Linked DNA regions of Mytilus edulis. Each later gene encodes a partner of the first gene's protein in a complex. Links are inferred from orthologs where the notes say so. Each region holds a gene or a part of one and is shown on either strand. Other genes may lie near its edges.

Region 1 (6,956 bases):
ATGATCAAAACCGGGCTTAGACCAACTATGCAATAAAATATTATGCTTAACATTACAGTCAGATACAGTGCATGCCTTTGGTTTTCTACAATTGTTAGCAAAATGCTTCCCTTTTAAACAATTATAACACAATTTTAACATGCGTACTAATTTATACCTATCATCTAAACTCATTGACTTGAATTTGCTACAAGCTGTAAAATCTACACAAGTACCTGTACAACATTTACATTTGTGCTCATATTTAGCTGTGTTATTTAAACTTTGAGTACTTAACGTAGTAACCTTACTATTAACTGTATCATTATTATGATGGTTACTTGTAAAAACCCTTTTATCAGTCTTGTTCTGATTGTTTTCTCTACAAAGATCGTACCCATACATAGAACTAGCAATGCGTGATTTTTCGTCTACAAATTTAGCTAAGTCAGAAAAACGGGGTTCTCTACCAGACTCACTAATTGAATGAGCAATGTCGACCCATCTTGTTCTCATATGCATTGGAAAGCGTTTAACAATACACCTTAAATTTTTAGAATTATCAATATCTGAATTAAAACCTAACTGAGACAATGTGATTTCACATTTTTGCATTTCTAATGCCAATTTAGATAAACCTTCAATATCTGACGCTTTAATCTGAGCGCCGTACACTAATTTTTCAATAAATGATCTAGCAATTACATGTGGCCTACCGTATCGGGAGTACAATATTGCCCTAGCACGTTTGTAACCCTCATCAGAATCTAATAATACACAATCTTCTATACAACACTTGGCTTCACCTCTACAGTACTGAATTAAATAACTCAGTCTCAAACTATTATCACTTATTCTACCTTCAATGTTTGTCTCAAAGTTCCTTATAAACTTACTATAGTCTAACGGAGTTCCATAGTCTAACGGAGTTCCATTAAAAGTTAATAATTCTGGTTTTGGCAAATTAAACCCTTCGTGAAGTGTAGATGCTAGGCGTTGAAAAGCTGAATCTATGCTGGAAACACTTACATCCGAAAATCCAGACTGAGCACTGATTCCCTGTGTACTGTTATTAATGTTCATCTTTGGTTTATCAGTTGCTGCAGTTTGTCCGGAAAGAGAGTTCATATTAATACACTTTTCACTCGCAGGAACAGAGCTCTGTAATGTTTGCGAGACTGTTTGCGAAATGTTCCGAATGTTCACGATTCCACTGGTATTATCTGTGTCTTCTTCCACTGCTTCTTGCCACACTGATTCTTCGATATTGGCCTCTTCCATCTCGGATAGTTGATTAAATACCTGTTGTCTAAATTTAATTTCTATTTGTGCACGCTCTAGTTCATGCTGTTCTGATAATTTCCTGAGTTTAAGTTCTGCGATTAGCCGCTTAGCTTTGGCACTGCGAAATCTAGATTGTGATGAAACTGAAGATCGTGAACTCAAACTGCTATCAATTGAAACTGTATCACTTTCTTCGGGTATTTCCTCTTCATGCGATTTTTCACTCGCAATATACTGAGAAAATCTATCCCGGAATTCTACAAAGTTCTCATGACAACGTTCATAGTTCACTTCCAAATTTTCTATAACTTCTGATTGTGTACACAAATCTAAACACTGTAAGTGTGCTAACTTAAATTGTTCAAACCTTTCACATAACTTTGAATATAATTGTTTTGCATGTTCCACGTTCTCATATGAAATTAAATTCTTCTCCAATTCTTTGTACAATTTAGTAAGCTGCGCTAAATTCGTACTACGAGTCCGTTTTACATCACTGAAGTCCAGACAGTCTTCTTTCCGTCTATCGGTAGCCATTTTCTTTTTAACAAATAGTCAAAATTCGGCACAATTTTAGAATTTCCTCCTCTCCAGAGTTGAGAATTGTACGAATCACATAAAGTTTAACTTAGGGCGAAGAAATGAGTATGCGAGTTAAGTTGCACCATGTATCTATCTTTTATTCTTTTATAAAAATCATATGGTCGCTAATAATCGATTCTCAACTTTGATCTGTCTAATAAAATAATGTGCATCCTTATGTTATCAAAATAAAGTCTAGACGACGAAGCGCACGTCAAAGGCGTAACGTCATAAAACAGAAACGGGAAAATGTGTTGTTCAAAAGAGCGCAACGTTACATTAGCGCTTTCATAAATAAATAGTAAAAACTGTGTTTCTTATTCTTACAAGAATAAATGAATATGTTAGTTAAACATTTAATAAATAATAAACTTATATTTAAAATTTGAATATTTCAAATCTTACAATGGTCATAAGGTCATTTGAGGAAACCAGGTCGCCTTTGAATCTTTTTGCATTGTATGAACTTCTTTCTTTTTTTTTTTAAGACAATGAGAATAAGATAGCATTTATTTTCAAAAACTATGAATTATAGTAGTACTATACAAATCCTTGAAAATGTAGTCCGACTCAGAAAATGCGGACGATAAAGACAATAACAAACAAAACCAAGGAGTAAACAAAGACTCACAAAACCAAAGGACATTTACATCAATAGTTATAAATAAGAAATAAAAAACAACACGAACTCCACTAAAAACCATGAAAACCGGGAGTGAAATCAGGTGCTCCGGAAGGGTAAGCATTTCCTGCACCGTATACGGCATCCGTCGTGTTATTTCTTTGTTCAGTCAGTCGATAATAATGGAAGGTTATTATGACTGAGGAAGAATATCAGATATGATTTCTAACACACTTTTTTCATAATTGCCAATCAGATCAAGATGACGACCGTAAAATTTCTTGAGTGATGACCTTAATTTGATTGATTCATAGCCCTGTCTTAGCAACTTTTGAGAAAGCAGTATTCCTCGTTCAACAAAATCAACGTACTTTGAACTAGCTCTAGAGTAACGTATCAATTGAGACACATATACTCCATATGCTGGTGCCGCTGGGATGTTGCTACACAGAAATGGAAAGTTGACTATAGGAAAATTAAAATCATCGCGTTTGTCATAAATTTTGGTATTCAACCTACCATCAGTAGTCATTTCGAGAAAAAGGTCTAAATATGAAGCAGATTTATCTGTGTCGGTAGTATCTTTAATTTCAAGTTCACTTGGATATATTAAATGTAAGTGATCACTGAATCTATTATCATTAACAGACAGTACATCATCAATATACCGAAAGGTGAAATTAAAAGACTGGGCTAACTTCTTTTCTCCTTTCTGTACAAGCCCTTGGATAAATTCTGCTTCATAGGAATACAAAAACAAATCTGCAAGTAGAGGAGCGCAATTGGTACCCACTGGGATTTCAATAGTCTGTTGGAAGACTAAACCTCCAAATTCAACAAATATGTTGTCAATTTAAAAGTCCAGCATGACAGTGATATCCTCTTCGGTGTATTTTTTGCTTGACCCTGTATGATTTTTCACAAAGTAAGCTGAATTTCTGCCCAAAACTAGATGATATTTAAAAACGTCTAGTGCCAGCCTTTTTGTTAAAGAAACATAGGTTGACGAGGTCTTTCAGTCGAGCTTTAAGTTTTTAGTATGTGGAATAGTGGTATAAAGAGTTGAAAAATCAAAGGTTTTAATGTTGGTACACTGTTTTAATAAATGAGATTGTAAATTCACCAATAACTCTTTTGATTTTTTCAATATCCACATCTGATTAACACCACTTCTTGAATATGTCGTTTCGGAATATTTCTGAAGTCCTACTTTGACTGCAGTGAGTATGGCAGTAAGAAATTTAGAAAGGGGTTTAGTGAAACACTTGTAAGAACCTGCAATATACCTTTCCTTATAAGGATTCTTGTGGTGCTTAGGAATCAATATAAGGATTTAAATTTAATACTGCAAATACGGAAATTAAAGTTACTACTGATTTGGTTCTAATATTATTGACTTTTCTGAAACCGGAAGTGATCTTTCCACACTTCGATTTTCTTTCTTGCTCATTAGAAATGATTATTTATAATTTGTGCCGGTAAAAAAGATACATATATGTTTTCCTTTAAAGTTAATGAACAACTACTAATAATTTCTATTACATTCACTTCTTTGATTGAAATTCCTGTGATAGAATAACTGGAAGCAGTACAAATCATCAAGTGGGCGTATCATCAGGGACATCGCGTCACTTTTCTTGGGTTTAATCACTAAATATTTTGATATAACCCACAATCAAACAAATTAACACAGATTTGGTCTGCTGAATAACTGGTATAGGTCAAAATTAAATCTTATATCTGTGTTTTTTTTACACTCATTCTATTCAATTATTTATGTCGGTTAAAATCTCATTAGAGCTTATGTTTGTCTATGTTTGTATACCTTGCCGACTCTAAATAAAGCTTATTTATTATTATAATAGCTCTGGTTGATTCGCCCAGTTGATGTTTCCAGTTTGTTCTCCAAGTCTTTGACGTGATGCTCCCTAGCCCTTGATATGTTGGCCCTGTTGATGTTTCCAGTTTGTTCTCCAAGTCTTTGACGTGATGCTCCCTAGCCCTTGATATGTTGGCCCTGTTGACTGTTCTCCAAGTCTTTGACGTGATGCTCCCTAGCCCTTGATATGTTGGCCCTGTTGACTGTTCACACCAGCTTCTTTATCCCAATTTGATTAAACAATGTTATTTGGTCCAGAATAATATGTAAGCAAAAACAAATGAGTGGATAGATGATTGTTGATCAAATGTAAATGTTTTTGTTATGATTTGCTCAGCTAATTGTTTTGAAAGTTTATATGCACATATAAACCTTTCTTTATCGTTGTGTTGCTATTAACATGATTGAACAAAATAAATAATCTTGCTGTGGCTTCTTTAATTTCCAATGAGACAAATTGTGTTCTTAAACAAATAATTGAAAGCTCTGCATTATAGTAACTAAAAAAGTCAAGAACTTGATACAATTTATGAGGCATCTGTTTTAGTCTACCAGTCAATGCTCTTCAACTTCGTAATTTATTTGGCCTTTAAAGCTTTTTTTTTATTTGAGCTTCACTGATGAGTCTTTTGTATACCGTTGATGAAACGTTTGTCAGGTGCAAATACAAAATTTCAATCCTAGTATCTATGATCATGATAATGAGTTCAATCATCCTATCATCATATTTGACTCAACTTGTCTCATGGTATTACATGTACTTTGTTTCTTGATGTGGTACATGGTAACACGGTTACTCATTTATTGATCAAAGTTATTTCTCACATTACTTTATTATTAATATTATGTTTATCTTTTATGGGTTATACATGTTTGAACCTGTAAAAAAGTTGTTTTTTACTTTACAAAATATACAGTAAAGATCAGTATACCCTTTGAAACTGATATATAAATGTTTTCTTAAATTATTTATCCATTGGTAGTGTACACTGAACTAAATATCAGGTAAAACTTATACATACAATCAAGGTTTTTCTATACATGATGTATTTTTGGTTTTCAGGTAACAGAAAAATAAAGAAATGATTGGTGGACTATTTATTTACAACCACAAAGGAGAGGTCCTCATATCCAGGGTATACAGAGATGATATTGGGTAAACTTATCAAATTAAAGTTTTATAAATAATGATTGTGAAAAAGGTTATTCTAGTGTTCATTCTTTCATGTTGTTTCACAAACTGAATTAAGGTAGCACAGTACAAAGATTTTATACCTCCAATGCCCCAGTTTTAAAATGCTGTAACTTTCTTTATAATGCTTGAAAATTTATTAAATTGGTATTTATGGATAGCTAACAGATTATTACTCTTTCAAATTAATGCAATGTTAGTATTGTACAACAATTATGTAATCAATTATAATTTTAACTGTGTCTACAAAATTTTACAAGAAATTTACACTTTCAATTGAAATTAGCTTCTTCATGGATACCCAGAGAGGGTTGATTTTATACTATGTTGTTCCTATAGCCATTGTCTACAAAAGAGTGTCTCAGATTTTGGATAGAATGTAGAGATCAAATTTTACACCTTATCAAACAATCTCTACTTTTATGTGGTAAGGATATTTACACTCATTACAGATTTATGAGAGAATAGAATACAATAGCCATAATTTGAGACACCCTTTTGTAGCTCCTACTGTGTTGATTAAGATAACGTTAAAATTTCTTGTGTAGTTATAGAGATGACAGAGCTAAATTCATACAAGTGAACTGACCAAGATTTTGCCGTTAATTACATAATAATTGTAACATAATGATTGCAGAACAAAAATATTGCATTCATTTAAAAGATTAATCTTTTATTTATCTATATATACCTCTTTTATTAATTTACATGCAGTCATAAGAAAGTTACAGCATATTAAAGGTTGGAGATTGGAAGTAAAAAATCTTTGCATTGTGCTACCTTAAGTCAGACAGACTTTATGACACAATAATATATTATTTTCTTTGTTGAATAGCTCAACAATGAAACAAAACTGGATGCTTTGCAAAATGTCGCTCCCAATTCTAAGACATAAATTACCCCCCCTTCCCCAATCTACACCTGAACTTATGTTTAATATCATGCATGTCAAATATTTCATTATTGAGCAGTGGCTAAAAAGTATATGTAATTTTCCTTTTTCAGGGCAACAATTTTGTTGTATGAACATTTCATCATTTTCTTAAGAAATTAAACTTTGTCTTTGTTTTCAGTATCCACTCAAAGATTGCTTTTATTTTGATATGTTAATTATTTGTGAACAACACATTAATTAGTGGTAGAGTTGTGCTACATGTATTCTGCAATCATTTACAAAAAGTATTGCTGCCTTATATTTCAGACGTAATGCAGTTGATGCATTTAGGGTCAATGTCATTCATGCCAGACAACAAGTCCGTTCACCTGTAACCAATATTGCCAGAACCAGTTTTTTCCACATCAAAAGGTCCAACATCTGGTTAGCCGCAGTAACCAAACAGAATGTCAATGCCTCTATGGTGTTTGAGTTTCTTCTCAAGATGGTGGAAGTCATGCAGTCTTATTTTGGCAAAATAACA
Region 2 (7,206 bases), on another chromosome or scaffold:
CCCTGTATGAACCCCAAATACAAAGTTAAAATATGTTATTTTCTAATTCATAACTTCAAGCGAACATAAATTATTTACAAAATAAACTCAACACCTTTGTATGGGATCAGCTCGCCTGACAGTGTGCAGCAAAGCTTTAATTTTATCAAAGACAAATGCAACGTAAAAAATGTTCATCAGTGTTACTGTCTGCCTAGGCCGCTGCAGGTAACAAACACAAAAACCAATCTACAAAAATAAAAACAATTTTCATTTTGTACGAAAATACATTTTATGAATCAAATAAAGATTCTGTTCTTACACACATTATTATTCACATTAATAAAAAATAACACAAATAAAATACATTAAGTCGGGTGGGAGGGTGGGAAACTTTACTGCACCAAAAGACAATATCTTTAATATACAAAACCGCCAAAAGTATAGCACGAAATATTTGAAATGACCTTATTCAAATATTATGGTCAGTTCTAACTCGACCAATGAAAAACATTTAACCTATTATATACTTTCAAACACGTGTAATTTTATAAACAAATACACGTGGTAATGTTTTCATACCGGTGTACATAACTTTAATAAATATATTTAAACTAGCAGTTAGTTTGTGTTCATTCGTCCAGGTGTAGGCCTAGGGTATGACTCGTTGGTATATATGCTAAAGATCTTGAGTTCGATTCCTAACATGGATACTCGATTATTTCTATACACATTATAATAGTTAGTCTTTTCTGTATAAATATTTTTAAGTTTTATTGTCGATTTGACATTCCCATCAAAATGTTACAGAAAAAAAGAAAGCATGCATAATATAAGAAACTCAAGCTAGGGTGATCTGGATTAGATGGTCGGGCTCAGATCACCCCTGGTAGAACAAAGGAGCTGGAATCAGTGGCGGATCCAGAACTTTCCTTAATTAGGGAGGGCCCGCTGACTGACCTAAGTAAGGGGGGCCCGCTCCAGTCATGCTTCAATGATTCCCTATCTAATCAACCAAATTTTTCCCACGAAAGGGGCCTGCCCCTCCCCCGGATCCGCCTATGGGAATTTTAATTTTAATGAATAGTATAACAAAATAAAACTGAATCCCAAAGGAGTAAAAACGTCAATGGAAAATAACAAATTAGTTTTTTTTTTTATTAACAACAGAACGAGTCAAAAACAATCGTTATATTCCTAAATTTAAAGATTCATTTTTCGACGGAAATTTAGACTGTCAAGTTTATACCTAGTCATATACAGCATTTATGAAATATTCTATTAAAAAAGGTTGAAATTAACGACTGGAAAACAAACTTATTTTGCATTTGGTTGCTTCCTCATTGACTTTTACTACACATGTTCTTCGTAAACTTTTTACTGAAAAAGATAGAGATTATTACATTGTATTTCTGTGTTGTATCTATTTTGGATGGAACATCTACACTATCAAAGAATAAAGATGCAGCTTGAGCTTTTCTAAATGTGTCGTTACCTTTACACATGGATAAGGATAGATATAAAAAAAAATTGTCTAAAAGAGGAAAATTTGATCTAAACCTTTAATTGTTATTTTCTTTTTTTTTAAATTTCATATCGAAATAAGTAAATGAGGTATGGGCGCCAATGAGACAACTCTCTATCCAAGTCTTCTATTGTCAGGTTATATATTTTCGTGTATTTCATTATTATAAATTTAGTCAGTCACTAAAAAAGTTAAGCATCTGTTTGATTTTTTTGAGTTAATTGAGTGTTTGTGATTGTATTTTGTTTTTAAATATATTTCATTATAAGAAGCCATTTTTTAACTTCAATATTGTTTCCTACCCCTCTATGATAATGCACCTGTCATTTGCTGACAGATTATATATAGAGTAGCAAAATATGAGCATAAAACCGAAGTCGGTGAAATGTTTGATTAAAAACAATTAAAGTGCGTTGTTAGAAATTACTTGTTACTGAGGTATATTGTTTGAAAAAAAATGTTTTTAAAAGAGAGATGACAAAGCAGTGTGTAGACTTATATATGTTATCTTTCGTCCGAGAAATTGCGATTTATCTGCAATTTGTAACTAATTGACTTTAAAGTAGGTGTTATTATTGATGCATCCAGTATAATCCTGGCACCTCAAGTTTTTTTCTCCATCTTTACAATTCTATTATTTCAATTTCTTTTTACAAAATATCCCAATATCGAGCAACAGAAATCAAATACGGGCAGAATATATGCACCAATTTGCTACTACTAACTAACTAAAATATATATATAAAACCAGGTTAAATCCACCATTCTCTGTATAAGAAAATCCCTGTACCAAGATTTGAATTTTCCTCGGAGTTCAGTATTTTTGTGATCTTATTTTTTGCACTTGTCATAGTTACATTAGCTTTTATTAGCTGCAAGTGTCTTTATGTTGTTTTTTTTGTCCGGCCATTTCAAAAAGTTGTTCACACTTCGTTCTATAGTTGTGCTGCTACAATGTTTCTGGTTATATCATGTAAATCCTTTGAAAACTCGCATGCAAATTGTCAGTTCATCGAGTTATCAAGTTATTTCTGTACCCTTTTTCTTACTATACGGTAAGAAGTTGCCCATTGTTCCAGACAATATGGTGACCTTAGGGGACGACCGTTTGATATTCGGGGGCGGGCGTGGGGGGGGGGGGGGGGGGTGTCAGGAGGATTTGTTTTTGATCGGTTACTAGTATTTATTTTTGTAAACTAAGAGGACAGCTTATTCATTTTCTGCACTATTGGAGCAAGATTTTTCATTTTCATTAAAGCAAGGGACTGATTATCCATTTTCACAACTATATTTATGAAATTCGAAAACATGTACAATTTTTAAATGATTTGTTAATTATAAATATTACATGTATAGTCAAGTCATTATGTACCATTTAATCAGAATTAATCATCATCCTCTGCAGAAATGAATCTTTTATATTCGCAACTGCATATACATGTTTTGCATACATACATAGTATTAAGGTTTGGTTGTAACTAGCCTCTTTTAAAAGTATGGGCAAACCTATTCCGCCGATCGAAGCGAGAATTTTTTTTTTTTAAGGGTTTTGGAGCCACTGACGGCCTAAGAAGCTATTGAACAAATGATGCAAAATCATGCTTTCTGGGTGTTCTGAAGACCCTTTCATAATCTGAAAATGCAAGTTTTGTTTTAATAATTTTTTGACAATATTTTGGTCTCATAGCTAAATGTATAAATTCAATGTAAAACATAAGTTTCTAGGGACAACATCAAAAGACCAATGTGCATGATAAAGCAAAAATGGAATTCACATAGTTAAGTCAGTGGCTGCTGGTTTTTTTTAACTCGTGATCAAGTTCATGACGAAATTACTAGATTACAAAAGGAATGCAACACTAACAGAATACAGAAGGACAATCAATGAACAAAAGACAAATAAATAAGAAACATTGACCCCGAAAAATCAGGGCTACGTGTGAGGGAAAACAGAACTTGCTTCTTGCAAGGCACTCGCCATTAACACAATTTGGTATGGAGACAAGCATTCGGTTTTAACATTTCCTACTGTAGTCATTTGACTCAATGTAGTTTAATATTGCCCTGTTAAAATAAAAGTGAGGTAAGGTTTCCTGGGACAATATACCTCAAATTAAATGAAACTAATTTTCAGACGTTTTAAGTATATTTTTAAATAATATTTATACTTTTATTATCCAAAAAATTGCATTGAGAAGTGTTTCCCGATTTTTTTGGGGGAAAAGATTAATTTATGAAGAATCTGTTGCCATCTCATACTGAGTTATTTATTTTCAATACATTACAAGTCAGGTAATTTATTTTTAAACTACCACAGAACAAACCATTTATTTTTGTGATTATCAAGGCTGGCTGAGTTATTAATTTTCAAAATCCTCGGCCGGATGATTAACCAAAAAATTGTTAATTATTTGAATCACATGTAAAAGGGGGTATCTTCCTAATTAGGTGTACGGGGATGTGCCAACTCTACTTAATTGCCGTACCTCAGAGCAAGGAATTGTATATTTAAATATAAATTGTTCGTGATTGATATAAATATCCTATCAGTCACACTAACAATAATAAAAGAATTACAAAAACTTTTTCCCGCCAAATTTTGTTTGAAGATTCAAAAGAAGCTCCGAATGACAAGTCATGTGATTTCGGTGGAAACTGAAAGTAGGAATATGGGCAGTATTTGTAACAAGGCTGTTGGTGTATTTTTCGAGTATGACACGCCGAGAATAGTTCATATTCGTAGCAAAAAAGTCGGCGTGATCAATCGTTTGATACAGCTCATAATAATTGGATATGTCATTGGGTAAGAAATGTACAACAGTCAAATGTCTTACCATGTTACAAGTTACACACACCAATCCCAAAACAGCAAAAGACATGTGATGTATTATAAATAAATTATATCTTGGACTAATACCACAGACACTCGTCTCACAAAAACATATTTCCTTTATAATATAAACCTTCATACTACCTTTATGTTATATAGAGGATCCTGATCCCGAAATCACGGACGTTAAAGACATGAAATCCTGGGGTCCCAAATTTAAATAAACGTAAATCCCAACATTCTGAAATTTGAAAAAAAGAAGTCCTGGATCCCGGAAAGTGTCAATCCAGTAATCCCCATCTTAAAAACAACTGATCCCAGAGTTCCAATAAAGGTCCTGTCCCCTCTCTTTAAGGAGGCTCGAGGGTATAAAAATTTCAGAAAAAATCAAACATTTGTTTTTCATTACAAATTTTATTTATTTCATTTTGTAGTTGTTACTTTATCATATGGCACAAAAATCATTCAAAACAATCAATTCGTGTTGGCCCCAGATGACTTTTAAAATGTATACATCATTGAAAAAGTTCCAAATTATCTCCCTTTGGTGGAAAAATGCCATTTTTTGGCTCTAAAATTGAAGGCCCAAGACCACAATTAATGACACCGCTTTTCGTTGTCCACGAATATAGTTCCTTTTAATTAGAGTGTATTTTTCCTTAATTTTTTTTCTTTCCTTTCCTCACTCATTCCTTAAATCTTTTTGGGTGGAAATGAAAGAAGAGAGGTCAAATAAATTTTTGGAGGTTGTATTTTAACTGATTTTGATATGGAATGAGTGATTAGGTCAAGTGCAAAAAGGTGATATTTACAGTTTTCGGAACATCTCTTGACTTGTCAATAGGGGTATGGATGTGTATTGGCTAAATTTGTAAAAGTGATTGCTTCAATCTTTCTGAATTTTGGATATATATTTGGACTAGGACAATACATTACACACACAAAAAATTGGACAAAAGTGCATGGTGCAATTTTTTTAATGATGCAAAAGGTTATAAAGAACTGATAGAGGAATTAATTGTGGTCTGTGGCCTAAGAGGTGCATTTCAGCAAATTTAGAATTTTTACTTTGGCATCTTTTCTGAATGATCTATTGGTATTGATTTGTCAAACTATATGAGAAGAAATGATTTTCACTTTCATTTGATAGAAATTTTGTGAAAAAGTCACTTTTCAGGTTAAATGCCTAAAATGTAGCTTTTTCACTTTTTTCACTATTTTTTCAAAAACAGCATGCTTAATTTCTCTCTGACAGTTTTTTTCTGGTATCTATTTGTGTTTGTGGTATTTATTTCAGTTGTTTAACTTATTTGTGAACTCTGAACACAAAAAAAAAGTAGATAAAAACATAAAAAGAGTGCAAAATGTGCTGTTTTAATAGTCTAAGTCTAACGGTCAGTATACGCAGCAGGTGAAATGTGAAGTTCTATGCACTTAAAAGTTGTATTCCAAAACAGATTGCACTGAACCTACATCAAAAACACTTATTACTGGTTGCTTAACCATTTCTGTTTTACAGACTACCTTTACTTTCTTCTGTTGGATAGCTAGTGGTTTAAATATTGGCCTTTTAAGGCTGACATTTCATTCAGTTTTTAAACAGTAAAGTTAATAAACTTTGCATCAGACCATACTGTCTGTATATATAGTTGAAAGTGACAGTCTTGTTACATCCAGGCTCCATGTTTTATCATATCTGAGCACAGATTTTAGCAAAAAGAAGTATATCTCCATCTCCCATATCATTTATATGCTTTTAAATATGCAAATGTGGGGAACGGCCTAAACTGGCAATCTGTTTTTTTAAGCATAACATTGCTAAAGACCATTTTATCCACATGCTTTATGCTATTTGAAACTTATATTTCCATCAAAAGTACATTTATAACCTGTTAAAGTTTGTTTGATAACTTAACAACTTCAGAAAATTGTGGTAAGTGAAAAATATTACATTTGATATAAGGCCTCACCCTAATTGAAAACCTCTATTTTTTGGCACAGGCTCATATAAAATTAACTTCTGGCCATTTTGCATAAGTCTGATACATGAAATATGCTTTCTGTTGCTTTAAATAGATGTTAACTTATACATAGAGACATTAAAAAGTGTTAGTTTTGGTATCTTTTGGTTTTTAGAAGCTCAAATTTGATAGTTTTAATTGTTCTAATTCAACGCCACAATTCAGCACCCAAAATTCAGATATAAAAAATGCCACATTTTTTTTATTTGGTATCATATGGCTTTGAAACTTTGTAACCTGTTTTATAATATACTAAGCTTGAATCATGCCAAGTTTTATTAGAATTGGTCAAGTTTTAGGCCCCTAATAGGCCCAAGACCACAATTAATGACACCGCTTTTCGTTGTCCACGAATATAGTTCCTTTTAATTAGAGTGTATTTTTCCTTAATTTTTTTTCTTTCCTTTCCTCACTCATTCCTTAAATCTTTTTGGGTGGAAATGAAAGAAGAGAGGTCAAATAAATTTTTGGAGGTTGTATTTTAACTGATTTTGATATGGAATGAGTGATTAGGTCAAGTGCAAAAAGGTGATATTTACAGTTTTCGGAACATCTCTTGACTTGTCAATAGGGGTATGGATGTGTATTGGCTAAATTTGTAAAAGTGATTGCTTCAATCTTTCTGAATTTTGGATATATATTTGGACTAGGACAATACATTACACACACAAAAAATTGGACAAAAGTGCATGGTGCAATTTTTTTAATGATGCAAAAGGTTATAAAGAACTGATAGAGGAATTAATTGTGGTCTGTGGCCTGAAATATCTTTTTCAACTCATCGGTGACCTATCTTTTTTAATATAATTTCCATATAAGCTGTACTTAAACTAAATTATTGTAAAATTTTA

Evidence for each region.
Region 2: the proteins of AP-2 complex subunit mu (region 1) and P2X purinoceptor 4-like are in contact, whole or in part, in a crystal structure (PDB 2BP5), measured with the Rattus norvegicus proteins. The link is inferred for Mytilus edulis from reciprocal best matches to the Homo sapiens genes AP2M1 and P2RX4. Residues at the interface, in NP_446289.1 of Rattus norvegicus: Phe174, Leu175, Asp176, Lys203, Asn217, Leu316, Ala317, Gln318, Lys319, Glu391, Val392, Pro393, Lys400, Val401, Arg402, Tyr403, Leu404, Ile419, Lys420, Trp421, Val422, Arg423, Tyr424, Ile425; in NP_113782.2 of Rattus norvegicus: Val375, Glu376, Asp377, Tyr378, Glu379, Gln380, Gly381, Leu382, Ser383, Gly384.

What each region holds. Positions count from the first base shown.
Region 1 is NC_092356.1:16,485,858-16,492,813, forward strand, and holds the start of AP-2 complex subunit mu, read left to right. Parts: upstream 1-3,843; 5' UTR 3,844-3,945; intron 3,946-5,409; 5' UTR 5,410-5,428; coding exon 5,429-5,502; intron 5,503-6,739; coding exon 6,740-6,956.
Region 2 is NC_092349.1:77,591,621-77,598,826, forward strand, and holds the start of P2X purinoceptor 4-like, read left to right. Parts: upstream 1-4,138; 5' UTR 4,139-4,173; coding exon 4,174-4,307; intron 4,308-7,206. UniProt on the Homo sapiens protein: ATP-gated nonselective transmembrane cation channel permeable to potassium, sodium and calcium. CTP, but not GTP or UTP, functions as a weak affinity agonist for P2RX4.